Linked DNA regions of Macaca mulatta. The protein of the gene in region 2 purifies or fractionates together with the protein of the main gene of each other region. This does not show direct contact. Links are inferred from orthologs where the notes say so. Each region holds a gene or a part of one and is shown on either strand. Other genes may lie near its edges.

Region 1 (7,325 bases), on a different chromosome or scaffold from region 2:
TATTTCCCAGCCTTTCCATGTTGGCTTTCCCATGCACAGTCCTTAGTGTTCCTGCTCCTCCTCTCTCTCCTCATCACAGTTCCCAGCCCCCACCTTCAACTGAACTCAACAAAATCTTCAACTTCATACGGTAGTCACATTGTTAGTAATAACACTGGCATTTTTATTTTGATAAAATAGACCATTTAAATTTTGAGATTCTACCTTATATTTTTTGAAATTACATACTAAAGCAAATAAGTAGTGATATAATGTCATTGGGGACCGAGATTTTTAGTGTGAATGAAAAAAGATAACAAATATAAACTCAAAGAAGTAAACACCTGTCTTTCATATGAACTGGAAATATCAGAATAAAGTCATGATTTTTCTCTTTCTAAAAAATATATATTTCCCTGGTTAAGTCCCCTGAAAAGGTCTAAATATAATGACACCCCAGTAACTGAGCAGCACTAGTATACAGACTGTGGTCTCTTTTTTTTTTTTTTTTTTGAGACGGAGTCTCGCTCTGCTGCCCAGGCTGGAGTGCAGTGGCCGGATCTCAGCTCACTGCAAGCTCCGCCTCCCGGGTTCACACAATTCTCCTGCCTCAGCCTCCCCAGTAGCTGGGACTACAGGCGCCCACCACCTCGCCCGGCTAGTTTTTTGTATTTTTTAGTAGAGACGGGGTTTCACCGTGTCAGTCAGGATGGTCTCGATCTCCTGACCTCGTGATCCGCCCACCTCGGCCTCCCAAAGTGCTGGGATTACAGGCTTGAGCCACCGCGCCCGGCCGACTGTGGTCTCTTAAGTGCCATTTCTGACTAAGAACTAGGGACTCTTGTGAAAACAGCTGATTCTAGGTCTGGGGCAAGAAATGTGCAAAATGTGTACAGGATATTTTGTGCCAGGAAGCAAAGAAGTCCTCCAAGACTACTGTGGCCAAGTCAAAGGAACTCAGGAGCCAGTCTGAACGGCTCTCACTGGCCAAAGGTGGGGCATGTTGAGCAGTAAAAAGAACCACAGTGGTTTGAAGCACATCAAATATGCCTGAATCTGTAAGTTCATGTTGATACTCATATACCTCATTGAAATCACCTTTGAAGAATACTAGGCACCCATTCATTATTTTGAAAAATTTTATATATAAAAGAAGCATGTTCTCTATTTTTCTTATACGTACAAGTAACCAATTTTTTTGTTTGCTTGTTTGTTTTTTTGAGACAGGGTCTCGTGCTGTCGCCCAGGCTGGAGGGCAGTGGTGAGATTTTGGCTCACTGCAACCTGTGCCTCCTGGGTTCAAGTGATTCCCCTGCTTCAGCCTCCCAAGTAGCTGGGATTACAGGAGCGTGCCACCATGCCCAGCTAATTTTTGTATTTTTACTAGAGACTGGGTTTCGCCATGTTGGCCAATCTGGTCTCGAACTCCTGACCTCAGATAATCTGCCTGCCTCAGTCTCCCAGAGTGCTGGGATTATAGGTGTGAGCCACTGTGCCCGGCCTAAGTAACCAAATTTCTGATGAAGAGGTTATTTATGGAAGAATCACAACTAATAACTTCAGAGAAAATACTAGAATTCAAAAACCACTATTTGCCATGAATTAATTAAGTGATGGATACAAGTAATGATGATGAAGGGCTACTAAAACTATTAGGGGAAAGGTTGATTGGGCTGTCTCAAAAAATAATAACAAAAATAAAAGGCCAGGCATGGTGGCTCACGCCTGTAATCCCAGCACTTTGGGAAGCTGAGGTGGACAGATCACTTGAGGTCAGGAATTTGAGACCACCCTGGTCAACATGGTGAAACCCCATCTCCTCTAAAAATACAAAAATGAGCCAGGCATGGAGGCACAAGCCTGTAATCCCAGCTACTCCAGAAGCTGGGGCAGGAGAATAGACTGAACCTGGGAGGTGGAGGTTGCAGTGAGCTGAGATGGCACCTGCACTGCAGCCTGGGTGACAGCGAGACTGTCTCAAAACAAATACATAAATTAAAATTAAAATACAAAATAAGAGTGTCAGACCTCTGAGCCCAAGCTAAGCCATCATATCCCCTGTGACCTGCAGGTATACATCCAGATGGCTTTAAGCAACTGAAGATCCACAAAAGTGAAAATAGCCTTAACTGATGACATTCCACCATTGTGATTTGTTCCTACCCCACCCTAACTGAAACGATATATTCTCCGCCCACCTTTAAGAAGGTACTTTGTAATATTCTCCCCTGCCCTTAAAAAGGTACTTTGTAACATTCTCCCCTGCCCTTAAGGTACTTTGTAACATTCTCCCCGCCCTTGAGAATGTACTTTGTACGCCTATCCCAAACCTGTAAGAACTAATGATAATCCCACCAATCTTTGCTGACTCCTTTTTCGGACTCAGTCCGCCTGCACCCAGGTGAAATAAACAGCCTTGTTGCCCACACAAAGTCTGCCCAATTGGTGCTCTCTTCACACGGACGCGCGTGACAAAGAGAAGAATAGATCAAGTGAAATCCAGACGTGTTGAATATTGGTAGCGTTTGAGAGGTACTTAAGAGTTCGTTATACTATTCCCCCTAATGTGCATGTTTGAAAATACTCAGAATAAAACACTTGTGAGGGCTACGGGGATAAAAAGAAAAAAAAAAAAAAAGGGTCAGCTGTGGCCCAAGAAAGGACAGGGACCAAGCCCACGGACGTGCTCCTCTGAGTTGCACTAGTCTCTGGGCCTTGACTCCCACACTGAACAGCCTCCTCAAAAGTCTTCAGCTGTCGTCCAGGAAGCCCGGGTCAGGCGCTTCCTCCTGGGCGTCTCTGGTCTTCGTGGGAACCACAGGTCGGGTGTCAACCTGGGGACCCCAGGCCTCCCAGCCTTGCCCAATCCTGGGGTTGACGCAGACTTTAGCGTCTTTTTAAACTTCCGGCGCAGGCTCCGCGGTGGCACAGGACGGTCCTCCGAAGTTTCCTGCGTTCTCAAAGGTCCAGATTCCACATTGGGGATGGGCCCAACTGACTTTGCTTCGCTCTCATTAGCCCGTGGGCCGCCAGGAAGGCGGGGCCGCCTCTCTTCGCTGTGCTCTCATAGGCCCAGGTTCTTGCGTTCTTGTGTCCTTCTCTCACTCTGATTGGCCTGTAGTCCCCTGAGGGTGTGGAAAAATCTCATTGGCTCTCGCGTCCGAACGTATGACGTCATGCGCCACCGCCCGTCGCTTTCGCTGGACGTCATCGTCGGGAGCCCACCCAGACGAAGGCTGAGAGTAGACAGCAGAACCAGCGGCGGCAGCTAAGCTGAGACAGTAGTAGCGGCGACAACGACGGCGGCAGCGATGGCTGGGGCGGGGCCAGCCCCGGGACTCCCGGGTGCAGGAGGACCCGTGGTCCCGGGTCCTGGCGCTGGCATCCCGGGCAAGAGCGGCGAGGAACGCTTGAAGGAAATGGAGGCGGAGATGGCCCTGTAAGGCCCGCGACAGGGAGTAATAAAAGTCGTCCCAGAGCCAGAGCCACCGAATCCCGGAGCCTCCAGGCCTCGATAGGCCAGAGATACGGCTCTAACATGGGGAAGTGGGACCTTCGGGATTGTGGGGGCGGGGATAGGGGAGAGGTTGGCAGGGGTGAGGGTCCCCTCGCGATATACCCAGAGTTACAAAATTGGTACGAGGTCCTGAGCGCTGGTGTCTGTTCTTCTCCTCCAGGTTTGAGCAGGAAGTTCTGGGGGCTCCAGTACCCGGAATCCCAACTGCTGTGCCTGCGGTGCCCACGGTCCCCACGGTCCCCACGGTAGAAGCGATGCAGGTCCCAGCGGCTCCTGTGATCCGTCCAATTATCGCGACCAACACATACCAGCAGGTACGGCTGAGCTAAGGCATATAAGTTAGGGAACACAATGCCTCGAACACGGTAGGTGTTTGTGTAGAGAGCTGTTGACGTTTTAGCTTGTTGACTAATTAGCATGACAAATATTTTATGTGCCAGGCACTGAGAACACAGTAATGACTGAGGGAGACATTTCTGCCCTTTGGGCGCTTATATTCTAGAGCATGTTGTCCAGTAGAGCTTTCTGCAATGATGAGAATGTTCTGATATATTTTAAATTCATATTTAATAGTTCGTTATTCTCAGTCACATTTCAAGTGCTCAGTAGCCAGCTATATATGACTAGTAGAGAAAGAGAGAAATTATTGAGAATAGGCTGGGCGCTGGGTGCGGTGGCTCACACCTGTAATCCCAGCACTTTGGGAGGCTGAGACAGGCAGATCACAAGGTCAGGAGATCCATCTTGGCCAACATGGTGAAACCCCGTCTCTACTAAAAATACAAAAATTAGCTGGGTGTGGTGGCACGCGCCTATAGTCCCAGCTACTTGGGAGGCTGAGGCAGGAGAATCACTTGAACCTGGGAAGCGGAGGTTGCAGTGAGCCAAGATTGCACCACTGCACTTGAGACTGGTGACAGAGCGAGGAGACCAGTGACAGTGGAGTGAGCAAAGAGGAAAGTGGGAGGAAATAAGGACAGAGAGGTGAGGCCAAATCTTGGAGAGCCTTACAGCCATTTTAAGAACCCTGGCAGCCAGGCACAGTTGCTCTTGCCTGTAATCCCAGCACTGTGGGAGGCCAAGGCAGGTGGATCACGAGGTCAGGAGTTCAAGACCAGCCTGGCCAACATGGTGAAACCCCATCTCTACTAAAAATACAAAAATTAGCCGGGCGTGTCGGCGGACTTCTGTAGTCCCAGCTACTCAGGAGGCTGAGGCAGGAAAATCACTTGAACCCAGGAGGCGGAGGTTGCAGTGAGCCAAGCTTGTACCACTGCACTCCAGCCTGGGCGACAGAGCGAGACTCCATCTCAAAAAAAAGGAATAGACTGTAAAAGACAAGGGCAGAAGCCAGGAGATGGAGGAAGGGGCTAGTACGGTAATCTAGACAGGAGCTAATGGTGGCTTGGATGGAGGTTGTGCATGTTAGATGGGGAGGAGGTTGGACACAGTTGCAGTCGGTGCTAAGTGCTGTGGGGAAGACGAAATAAGGTGGTGAGAGAAGCTGCTGCTCAGAGAGCCCTAGTGTGATCCCAAAAGCCTCCCCGAGAAGTGGCATTGTAGCTGAGACCTGAGATAGCCAGTCACATACAGAACATAAAGCATGAAGCTCTTGGTCTCTTGGGGTGAGCTAGCCTCAGCAGATGGGGAAGGCTGAGTCAGGCCCCTCACCCTGACCTCTTCCCCGACAGGTCCAGCAGACTCTGGAGGCCCGGGCAGCTGCTGCAGCCACAGTAGTTCCTCCCATGGTGGGTGGCCCTCCTTTTGTAGGCCCCGGTAAGTAAAGAGTGGCAAGGTGAGGGGGTTGGGCAATCAGGCAGGGTGGTAAAAAGGTGTGCCCAGGACTCTCCTCCCACCATCCTTGCCTCTTCCCTCCCAACAGTTGGCTTTGGCCCTGGTGATCGGAGTCACCTGGACAGTCCAGAGGCTCGAGAAGCCATGTTCCTGCGGCGGGCAGGTGAGTCTGGGGTCAGGGACCCCCACATTTAATCAGGCACTCTTGTTTACATGACTTCAGCCTCTTGCCTGAATCCTTGCTCTAAATCACCCTTTGCATTTCATCCCAACTTGATGTTGTCATCCTAAAGCACAAACCTGATCATGTCCTTCCTGATGATGTCAAGTCAATTTTGTTTTAACCTGATCACTGCAAACCAACCCTCCTGCTGTCAGTCCTAATTCCAAATTGCCACAGCACTTAACACCTCATAATAAGCTGTGTCATTTCTTATTGACTATGGCTATCATCTTTTGCATTCTCTGAAATACAAGCTCCATGAGGGGCAGAAGTCTCAGTACCTGCCACATAGGAAGCATTATGTTCTGTCTGTTGATGGGATGAACAGACTGTTGAGACAAGCACCAGGCTCTTCCCCTGGCAGTCACAACCCTACATGACCTTGCTTCTTGCAGGGAGAGATCCCCAGCAGCCCGAACATTTCTGGGATGTGCTAGCAGTGCTTTTGTTAAGGTCCCTTCTCTCCCTGCTCACTGTCACCCAGCTGTAATCTTCCAGCCATCCTCCCCCGCAGGCCATTTTCCACATTCCACCTTCTGTTCTTCAAATAACCTTTACTCACGCTGTCAACTTGTAGGACATTACTTCCTTATATGTATGAAAAGGATGCGTGTTCTTATTTGGATGTAAAATTCTGGTATAATCTTTGTTAAACCAAACATGCTACTTATGTTACCTAAACCCTGTTAAACTTTTTAATCTGATGATCTCTGAGAAGTTGTAATGTCTCTTAGTTTTTAGTATGGTTTTGATCAAAATGCAAATCTGACCTACTCCCCCTGCCCAGCTTCCAACCCGCTGTGGCTCCCCAGTGCCCTCAGGAGGACACCCATGGTTCAGCCAAGAATGCTGTGCTTTCAAAACAAAACAGTTCTACTTGGGTGTCTGCTGGCCGCTTAGCCCTTCTCATGACACTCTCTAAGCCCCGCTTCTTCTATTACAGTTACACTAAACTGAAAAGGGAAAGGTTTTGCTTATAAGTGTTCTCCCTGCCAATAATATTCGCAGTCACCCTTTGCCTAACACTTCATTGTCCCTCGGGTCTCAGCTCACAGGTCCCTTTCTCCAGGAAGCCTTCCCTAGGCCTGGCTGGGTCAGAGGGCTCCCCTCTCTTAGCACTGATCCCGCTGCCTGAGCTTCCCCACTTCCAGCCCTGGTCCCCATTGTCTCTCGTTCTCTAGTGATGTCTCCATTCGCTCCTCTGGACCAGGAGCTCCCTGAGAACCCTGGGTCTGTGGGTGTGTCCCCAGCATTGCCTGCCACAGGGCTGAGCCGGAGGAGCTCCTCAGTGGTAAATTTTCATGCAGTGAACCAGGGGAGAGGCCCCCAGGACTCCCCAGGAGGGCTCCCCAGACTCTTCTCCAGGATTTCTTGTATGCTGAGAGTGCACACACATACACGCACACATGCACACACACTTTGCCCCAAGTGCCCCTGTCCCCCATGACACACACCCCCATCTCTCTCTCCCACAGCTGTGGCCCCCCAGAGGGCCCCTATCCTGCGTCCAGCCTTCGTCCCCCACGTGCTACAGAGAGCAGGTGAGGGGCCAGGGTCATCATCCCTGCCACATAACTCCCCCCAGGCCCTGGAACTCCCCACTAACACCCTGACAGATTCTGCTCTCTCCTCTGCAGCAGCCGGCCCCCGCCCTATGGCCCTACGGCCCCCTCACCAGGCCCTTGTGGGCCCCCCTCTGCCTGGGCCCCCTGGACCACCCATGATGCTGCCACCAATGGCTCGGGCTCCAGGTCCCCCGCTGGGCTCCATGGCTGCGCTGAGGCCCCCTCTGGTGAGTGGACAGGGAACTAA
Region 2 (7,470 bases):
CCTGGCAATTATTCCCAATTTATAGCTTAACATTAAGCGGTGATTCTATAAAGTAACAAAATATGAAGACTTTTTTGGTTCACGCCTGTAATCCCAATATTGCAGGAGGATAGCTTGAGCAGAGGAGCTCAAGACCCACCCATGCAATATAGATAGTGAGACCTCAGCTCTACAAAAAAATTAGCAGAGTGTGGTGGTGTGATCTTGTAGTCCGAGCTACTCAGGAGGAGGTTGAAATGAGAGGACTGCTTGAGCCCAGGAAGCAGAGACTGTAGTGAGCTACGCTTGCATCACTGCACTCCAAGCCTAGGAGTTAGACCAAGATCCTGGCTCAAAAACAAAAAAAAACAACTTACCGATCAACTGAAAATTCGCCTCCTTCACCCTTTTCTTCAATTGGCTTTTCGAATCTTCGTTCACGAGGTGGTCGCCTTTCTGGTCTTCTATCAATTATTTTCCCTTCACCCTGAAGTTGTTGATCAGGTCTTCTTCCAACTCGTCTTATTCCTAAAAGGATAGATAACCTGCATAAGCAAACTATTTTCGCAATACAAAAAGTTTAGGCCTGGACTGTCAAAAAGCTGCTTCTCTTCCAATCCACTACCATTTCCTGTTGGAAAAAAGTAAACACTGGGTAACTCTAATGTGTAACAAAGTACCTTAGAGAAACTGCCATTTAAAGACAATAAACCTTCCAATCCATACCACGGACCAAATACATAAATAAATAAAATACAGACAATAAACTTGTTTTAAACTTCTATTTAGTTTGCCAAGTTATTCTCCCCCTCATAAGCATTTTCTATAACTGACTTGGAAATCATTTGGGCAACCATTATTCCCGTCACTTTTCAAGATATCAGTCTCTTAATAAAAAGTTTTAAATTTAAAAAATGTTAGGCAAGTGATACATTTTGGCTTTTAAAATACCAAAGAAAATACCAGCAGCCATTCATAATAACCAAGCAAATCAACACACTCACTAGATATGGCCCCTCACAAAAGTGAGGGCCACACTTTGTTATCCTATCTAATCTGAAAAAACAAAAAAGCAATTAAGACTCATAATTCTATGGAATCACAAATCTGAAAGGAAAATATGGCATTTAGGATTATTAGAGAACATCACCTCAGTTTAAAACAGCCATTTAACCAGAAAGTGTCATCTTTTAGTCTCAACTGCAGGCACACAAAAAGGGCCATCTTCCCCTATTAAACAGTTTAAAAATTTATAGCATGTAAGTGTATATATGTTTGTACACACTCCCACATCTCTAAGTACTTCCAAGTTAGGAAACAGTTACTTATTATGCATGGAGACAGTCCTCTAAAAAATCTGCCCTAACAACTATCTTTATTGTCAAATAATCTTTAAAAACCAAATCCACACACATAAGACCCCTTTTAAGCAGTATGTAAGAAATAAGAAACTTGTGACACTAAGTGATAGCTGAAGCATTTACTAATTTCCCCCTTTACTGCTTTTCCTGTAATGTTTGAAACCCCACAAAGGCAACCAATGTAAATTACTAGTGCCCTTAAGGATCAATAGATGGATGATTAAATTAATGACTTTAAGATTGTTGGTATGCTCTAATTCCCAATTTCTGACAAAGTCATAAAGCAGCTGAGGAATTGGTTTTACAAGATTTTAAGCTGCTTCACTTTGGTTCTAAGAAAGTAGAACACCATCAGGACACACCCAATTGTTCAATTGCCTGTAACTGGAGCCAAACAGTAACTATCAGTCTCTTCAATAGAATTTTGAAGTTCATTCCCAGCAAATACAAGACAGACTACAAATGTTAGACCTTACACCAAGGTATTTAAATAAATGTCATCAGTAATAAAGTGTACTGGGGTGGAGTTAAGGAGCCAGTCCTTGCAATAATATCCAAGCCACACACACCCAAGTGAACAATAGTTGGCGTCCCCACCCAATATCAATATTAAGCTTACAGAATCTTAGAAACTTAGATTAAACTCACCTAATGAAAAAGACTGACATTTAAAAATGCAAGCTTCTTTTGATATACTTATGTATAACCTGCAAGCTCATTAACTGCACTAGTTTCAGGCATCCATTCTGTTTTAGAAAATTCCTGGTCTACACTCTCAATGACATTCTGCTATCAATTCTCAAGTTCTTCAAATGGGCAAGAGAAGCTACAAAATTAATTCATAAAACATAAACATTAAATATCTGTCTAAAGTATGTCAAGCATTATGTCACAATGTGTTGTCAAAACCACAGAACACAATCAGGTTAACCTTCCTACTATCTGCAGGGATTTTGTTTACAGATATATTCCCAGTAAATAGGACAGTAGAATCTCAAAACGGGTATTGTCCATTCAACACTTTTCCTGTATTTACATGCTTGTATTTTATGCAACTTAATAAGAGTGCTCTGAAATACTGACCTAAGGAAAATGTTGATTGCTAATATGGAATAGTTTTCCCATGGAAAGACTTATTGAATGGTGAACTTAAGTCTTAGTTCTAACTTCATGAAATCATTCCCCACATTTGTCACTTAAAATACTTTTCAGGTAAGAGCTTATTTCTTAGATGGGCTTCATGATCAAAATAACTCAGGCATTTAAACATGCTTCATGTTTTGAACATTCAAAATGAGTGAACACATCTACCTGGTACACACTATTCGTCAGACTCAACTTTTTGGTTTACTTTCTTAAGCTTAAGCATAGTTTAAATAATTACACAAGTCAGCGTTACTTAACACACGAATTAAATGATTTATTTAGGTGTGTTAGATTGCCATAAAGCTTAATTGGCTGAAGAGATACTTGGCCTAAGTGATGTACATGCTTTCTAATACTCCAACTGTGTTTCTCCTCAACCTATAATTTTACCACAAGAATTATTTTCTTTCATTCACCACCTAGGACCGAGGTTCTTCATTCTAAGCCTCATAAAAGTCCTCAAAAAAAAAAAAAAAAAAACCACAAAAACCAATAAACCTCCTAAAACAAATCCCACCACGAGGAAATTGTTTTGATTTTCAAAATTAGTTGAATGTCACAGAAGTCAACAAAAGCTAATGAGAACTCCTTTCAGAGAAGCACGTGGCAGGAAGGGGTAATTTCAACTTTCAACATATAAATACAGCTTTAAAGATTCAGACCTTAGGTCCGACACCTGCTTGCTATTGATCATGCACGTTCTTATCTTCGAACTACTTGCTCTTTTTCATCCGTAACAAACTGGTAATGAGAATGCAAAAATCAAGACAATCCTGTGAAACTCACAGTGCCCTGGAAGCAACTATTAACCGCCAGTGAAACTCTCACCATGCTTCACGCACATGTGGAGGGGGAAAAAAAAAGCTGCAGACTCTAAAGAGCTCTGCTGCGACTAACGCTGTGACAGCCTCTGCACTCACTTTACCCACGAGGCCCAGAGTCCACCATGTGAAAGACTCAGTTTGGGGAGTCGAGAGAGAGAGGATCGTGACTCGAGGACTTTCCTCGGGACGTCCTGCGATCACCAGTCTTCATTCATAATTCCCGCTTCTGCTTAGTCGAGTGTGGCCAAACTCCTCCATTTCCCAACAGCTCAACTCACCCCAGCAAGTTCTGAGAAAGTCCTAACAGTTGAGAGGTGGAGGAGAAACAATAAAGCACACGCGGCACCCCAACCTGCGGCTGACTCCACACGTCCGATGGCCTGGAACGACCCCCTGCTTTTCGGCGGGGATACTCCGCGCCGTCGTGGGACAAGATGGCAGGACAGGAGCCTGAAACAACAGCACCTCAAAGGAGCAGCTCTGCGCAGTAAGCAGCGATGGACCCCGAGCCCCTCCGTAACTACGGCAAGCGTCGGTGAGCGGCCGGCTTCCCCGCACCTCAGTCCATGCGCTCGCCCGCCAAGGAATCCGGCGGGAAGGCAACAGCCTCCCCGGACCCCGAGCGCGCTCGAGGAGCAGCTCATCTCCGACCACGCTCCTCCGCTCACAACCTAAGGCGGGAAGGGGGTGGCTCCGAGAGCCTCGCCGGCGGTGGCTTCAACTTGGGGCTACCACGCTCCTGGCACCTTCGCAGGACCTGGCTTTTGTCGCGTGAAGAAACGTGAGGAAATAGGCGGCAAAGTCTCCCGCGGACCCTCGGAGCTCCAGAAACAAGTGGTAGCCGGCAGCCCTCTCGCTCCTTCCCTCCATCCCAGTCTCCCCCACATTCTGCCCCTGCTTTACCTTCTTTCTTAAGCGCCACGGGCGGCTGCGTCTCCTCTTTCTTGTCAACCACGCCAACGCTGGGGGGCAGCGGGTTCTTGCGGTCTTTCTGGGACTCCTTGCGCAGCTGTTTGCCTGCCGCGTTGGAGTTGGTCTGGGCCGCGGCCTGAGCTGCGCTCTTGGCCCCGGGGCCCCCAACGCCGCCCCCGCCGGCTTCTTTTTTCTTGTTCTCCGCTGCCTTCAGCACCTCGAAGGGGTCCGATTCGTCGTCAAATAACTGGTCGAATCGGTTGGTGACCACGCAGCCGAAGCCTTCCTGTAAGTGCCCAGGCATGATGGTGGCTCGGCGGCGCGTTCCTCCACGGATTGCAGCGGGCCGCGCCGAGCCAAGAGCGCCTGCTTCAGCTCTTCCCACAAGATGGCCGGGCCGAGAGAGGGGGGCCGTCTTCTCTTCCGGCGCCAGGCACACATCCGGGAGCGGCCAGCGCCGCAAGGCACTGTGGGGTGTGTAGGCCAGAGTAGTTTCTCCTGAGGCGACTCCCTGCGTTGGGACTACAATTCCCAGGATGCACCGCGCGACAACTCTTCGCGCGCGCCCGAGAGGCGGGACCCCAAGAAGGGAGTGAAGCGTGCGAGCTGAAGGAGGGGAAGCGTGGTGGTGGGCGGAGTCCTGCCACCTGCTCTGGTCGCCCTTAAACTCTGTAGGTCTTCAGCTACCCTGAAACCAGAAAAACGTGACGGCGTAGCTGACTCGCGAAAGTGCTCTTTGGTTTCACTCACGCTCCCTCGGGCTCAGGCTAACTTTCCCCACCGCTCCGGGAAGGGTCAAGGTGACTCCCAGACCTTACATCTGAGACGCACAAACTTCCGGGGGAGGGGGTGTTGCTGAGACGCCGCGCCGGCAGCGAGTAGGCTGGACCCTGCCTGTGCCAAGTCCGAGCAGCTCAGTCGCTGGAGTGCCCTTTTGTCAGGCTCCACGGTGAATCGAGGCTCTTCTGTCTAATGTGAGGTGGAATACGTTTCCTCTCGCGGGGACGTGAACTAGGGTAGCAGAACTAACCAAAAAGACAAGTGAAACTATCACATGGGAGTGTGGCGCGTCTTTCCCGGGCTTCTCACCGTGTGGCGGCCGGTGTCGTAGGAGTGGTTAACTCCTGACTGTGCAGCGCTAGACACTGGGCAAGCCGCTAGGAAGCACTGTTTACAGAAACGCTGTTACAGTCATTCCAATTAATTGTCCGTTCGTGTCCGGCAAGTCAGGGCTTAGGTGGCTGTGGTGTTAGTCACATGCGCTCAATAAATACCATTTTAGAGCATTTCGAGTGCGTGTGTGCTAGGAGTTGCGGTGAGGGGTGGGAAATATTGAAGTCAATACTTAATAATAACAAAGCATTGATACTAGTTGAGAATATTAAAGTTCATTAAAAGAATACAGTTTGAATGCATTTTAAGCACATTTGGTAGCACCGTGTTTAAATATATCATAATTTTTAAATCCTTTTCCATTAACACAAAATAGCAAATGCATCTCTGGCAGGAGCTATGAATAACCTTGAACTCAACATTGTGTTAGGCAAATAGTTGCCTCTTTTCACAAATGCTGAAACCACTTCAGAGATGAAATGATTTACCAAATTCACACCTCTGTAAGTGCTAGTGACAGGTATTAGCCCAGCCTTCTACCTCCACTAGGAGACCGGACATCAGCTCTTTAATTCAGACTCTGCACTGATAGAAAGCTGTCCAATGTTTAAGTTTCCGATATGATTTAAACATGGTTGTGTGTCAGGGTATGTAACATGGCGGAATGTAATCATCAATTTCCGAGCAGATTTTAAATCAATTCCTTAGCAGGGAAAATAGAAGACACGAGTCATATTACATACATGTGGCAGCAAACCTCCTGGTTTTCTTATTTCTCAATCCTCCCCTACTCTTCAGAGCCACTTACTTCCCTGCTGCCTCAGTCCTACCCACCCCAACCTCAAACACACCCCCTATCTCATCCTCTCTTTCACAGGCTCTGGCTCTGTGGCACCTACCAAGACAAGGAGCTTTTGACCATACTCTTCCCACCTTTTCGAAATAGCTCAAGTGCAATGTAGAAGATCTCCACATTTTGACAGATCCTCTCTCTTCACGGGCTGTTGCATCTTTGAGACTATCTGCATCTTTGAGACATCTGTGAAAGCTCCCCTTCTTACCTCTTTCTGGCCACGGCCACAGTAACGATATTCATAGCCAAAATGTGATGTTTTAGTATGTGCTTGGTGCACTTTACGTATGTGATCTCCTTTAAACCTTACATCAGCTCTATAAGAAAGTTATTACTCCATACCCCCCCCCAAAAAAGGTTATTACTTCTGTTTTAAGATGAAGAAAATGAAAACAAAGAGCTTAAGTAAGTTAACTACTCCTGCCACAATCGGGGGCTGGAGCAGGCCTGTTGTTAGTCATTTTTTTCCTCCATTACAGATTTCTGGTTTGCTCAGACAGATCTTCGTGACCACCAAGCATTATTATAATAAGAATATTTGAAAATAAGCTACACTTAGAGAAATTTTCGGCTATGAATTTATGAGGTTCATTTATGCTCCTCAGAGAATTTACCTATTAAGATTACATAAAAATGTTATGAATAAGCATTTGAAGAAAAGGGGAGAATCTTTTATATTTCTGAAAAGTTTTAAAGTCCATTTTTAAAGTATACAAATAAAGCTCAAGATGGTCTTTTACATCTCTCAATCGTTATTTTATAACTAGTTATTTTCAGTTTCCTTTATTCTACAAAGTTGAAATATTAATTTCTTAATATTAAATATTAAAATTCTAAAAGTTCTTGCTACTCTCACTAGGAAAACATCAGCCAAATAATCCTCAAGGGAAGAGAAATTTCCCGGCAGACACTAGTATTCAAATTAAAGGCATGATTTATAAAAGCGACAAGTGTCAGGCGGTATCACTGATTAGACATGTGGCCTAAAATGTCATCTCTCTGTAGCAATATTTGAATCACATCTTCTTCTCTGAAAAATACTCATGAAACTTAACAGTCTTATCTACAACAAGCCTCTCTGAAGGGTTTTCTAGCAATAAATGCTGAAAACCATGATTAAATATCCAATGTAGTTGCCTGATGTTAACGAAATGGAGAAACAATATTATATATCTCCTTCTTCCTGCCTTCATTTACTTTCAGGATCCTAATGCAATATTCAGTTCTCAGCCACATTACAACTTGCTTTCATCCATTTCTTCATAATCTCAACCCCCTGTTA

Evidence for each region. Proteins that work in one complex are often made in the same cells at the same time.
Region 1: the proteins of SERBP1 (region 2) and RBM42 purify together in Homo sapiens (affinity purification with mass spectrometry; 3 studies listed by BioGRID and IntAct, with this or other methods). This does not show direct contact. The link is inferred for Macaca mulatta from reciprocal best matches to the Homo sapiens genes SERBP1 and RBM42.

Annotation. Positions count from the first base shown.
Region 1 is NC_133424.1:46,886,855-46,894,179, forward strand, and holds the start of RBM42 (RNA-binding protein 42), read left to right. Parts: upstream 1-3,166; 5' UTR 3,167-3,290; coding exon 3,291-3,418; intron 3,419-3,656; coding exon 3,657-3,810; intron 3,811-5,187; coding exon 5,188-5,272; intron 5,273-5,378; coding exon 5,379-5,453; intron 5,454-6,988; coding exon 6,989-7,054; intron 7,055-7,129; coding exon 7,130-7,305; intron 7,306-7,325. UniProt on the Homo sapiens protein: Binds (via the RRM domain) to the 3'-untranslated region (UTR) of CDKN1A mRNA.
Region 2 is NC_133406.1:173,176,279-173,183,748, reverse strand, and holds the start of SERBP1 (SERPINE1 mRNA-binding protein 1), read right to left. Parts: upstream 4,629-7,470; 5' UTR 4,527-4,628; coding exon 4,214-4,526; intron 508-4,213; coding exon 357-507; intron 1-356. UniProt on the Homo sapiens protein: Ribosome-binding protein that promotes ribosome hibernation, a process during which ribosomes are stabilized in an inactive state and preserved from proteasomal degradation.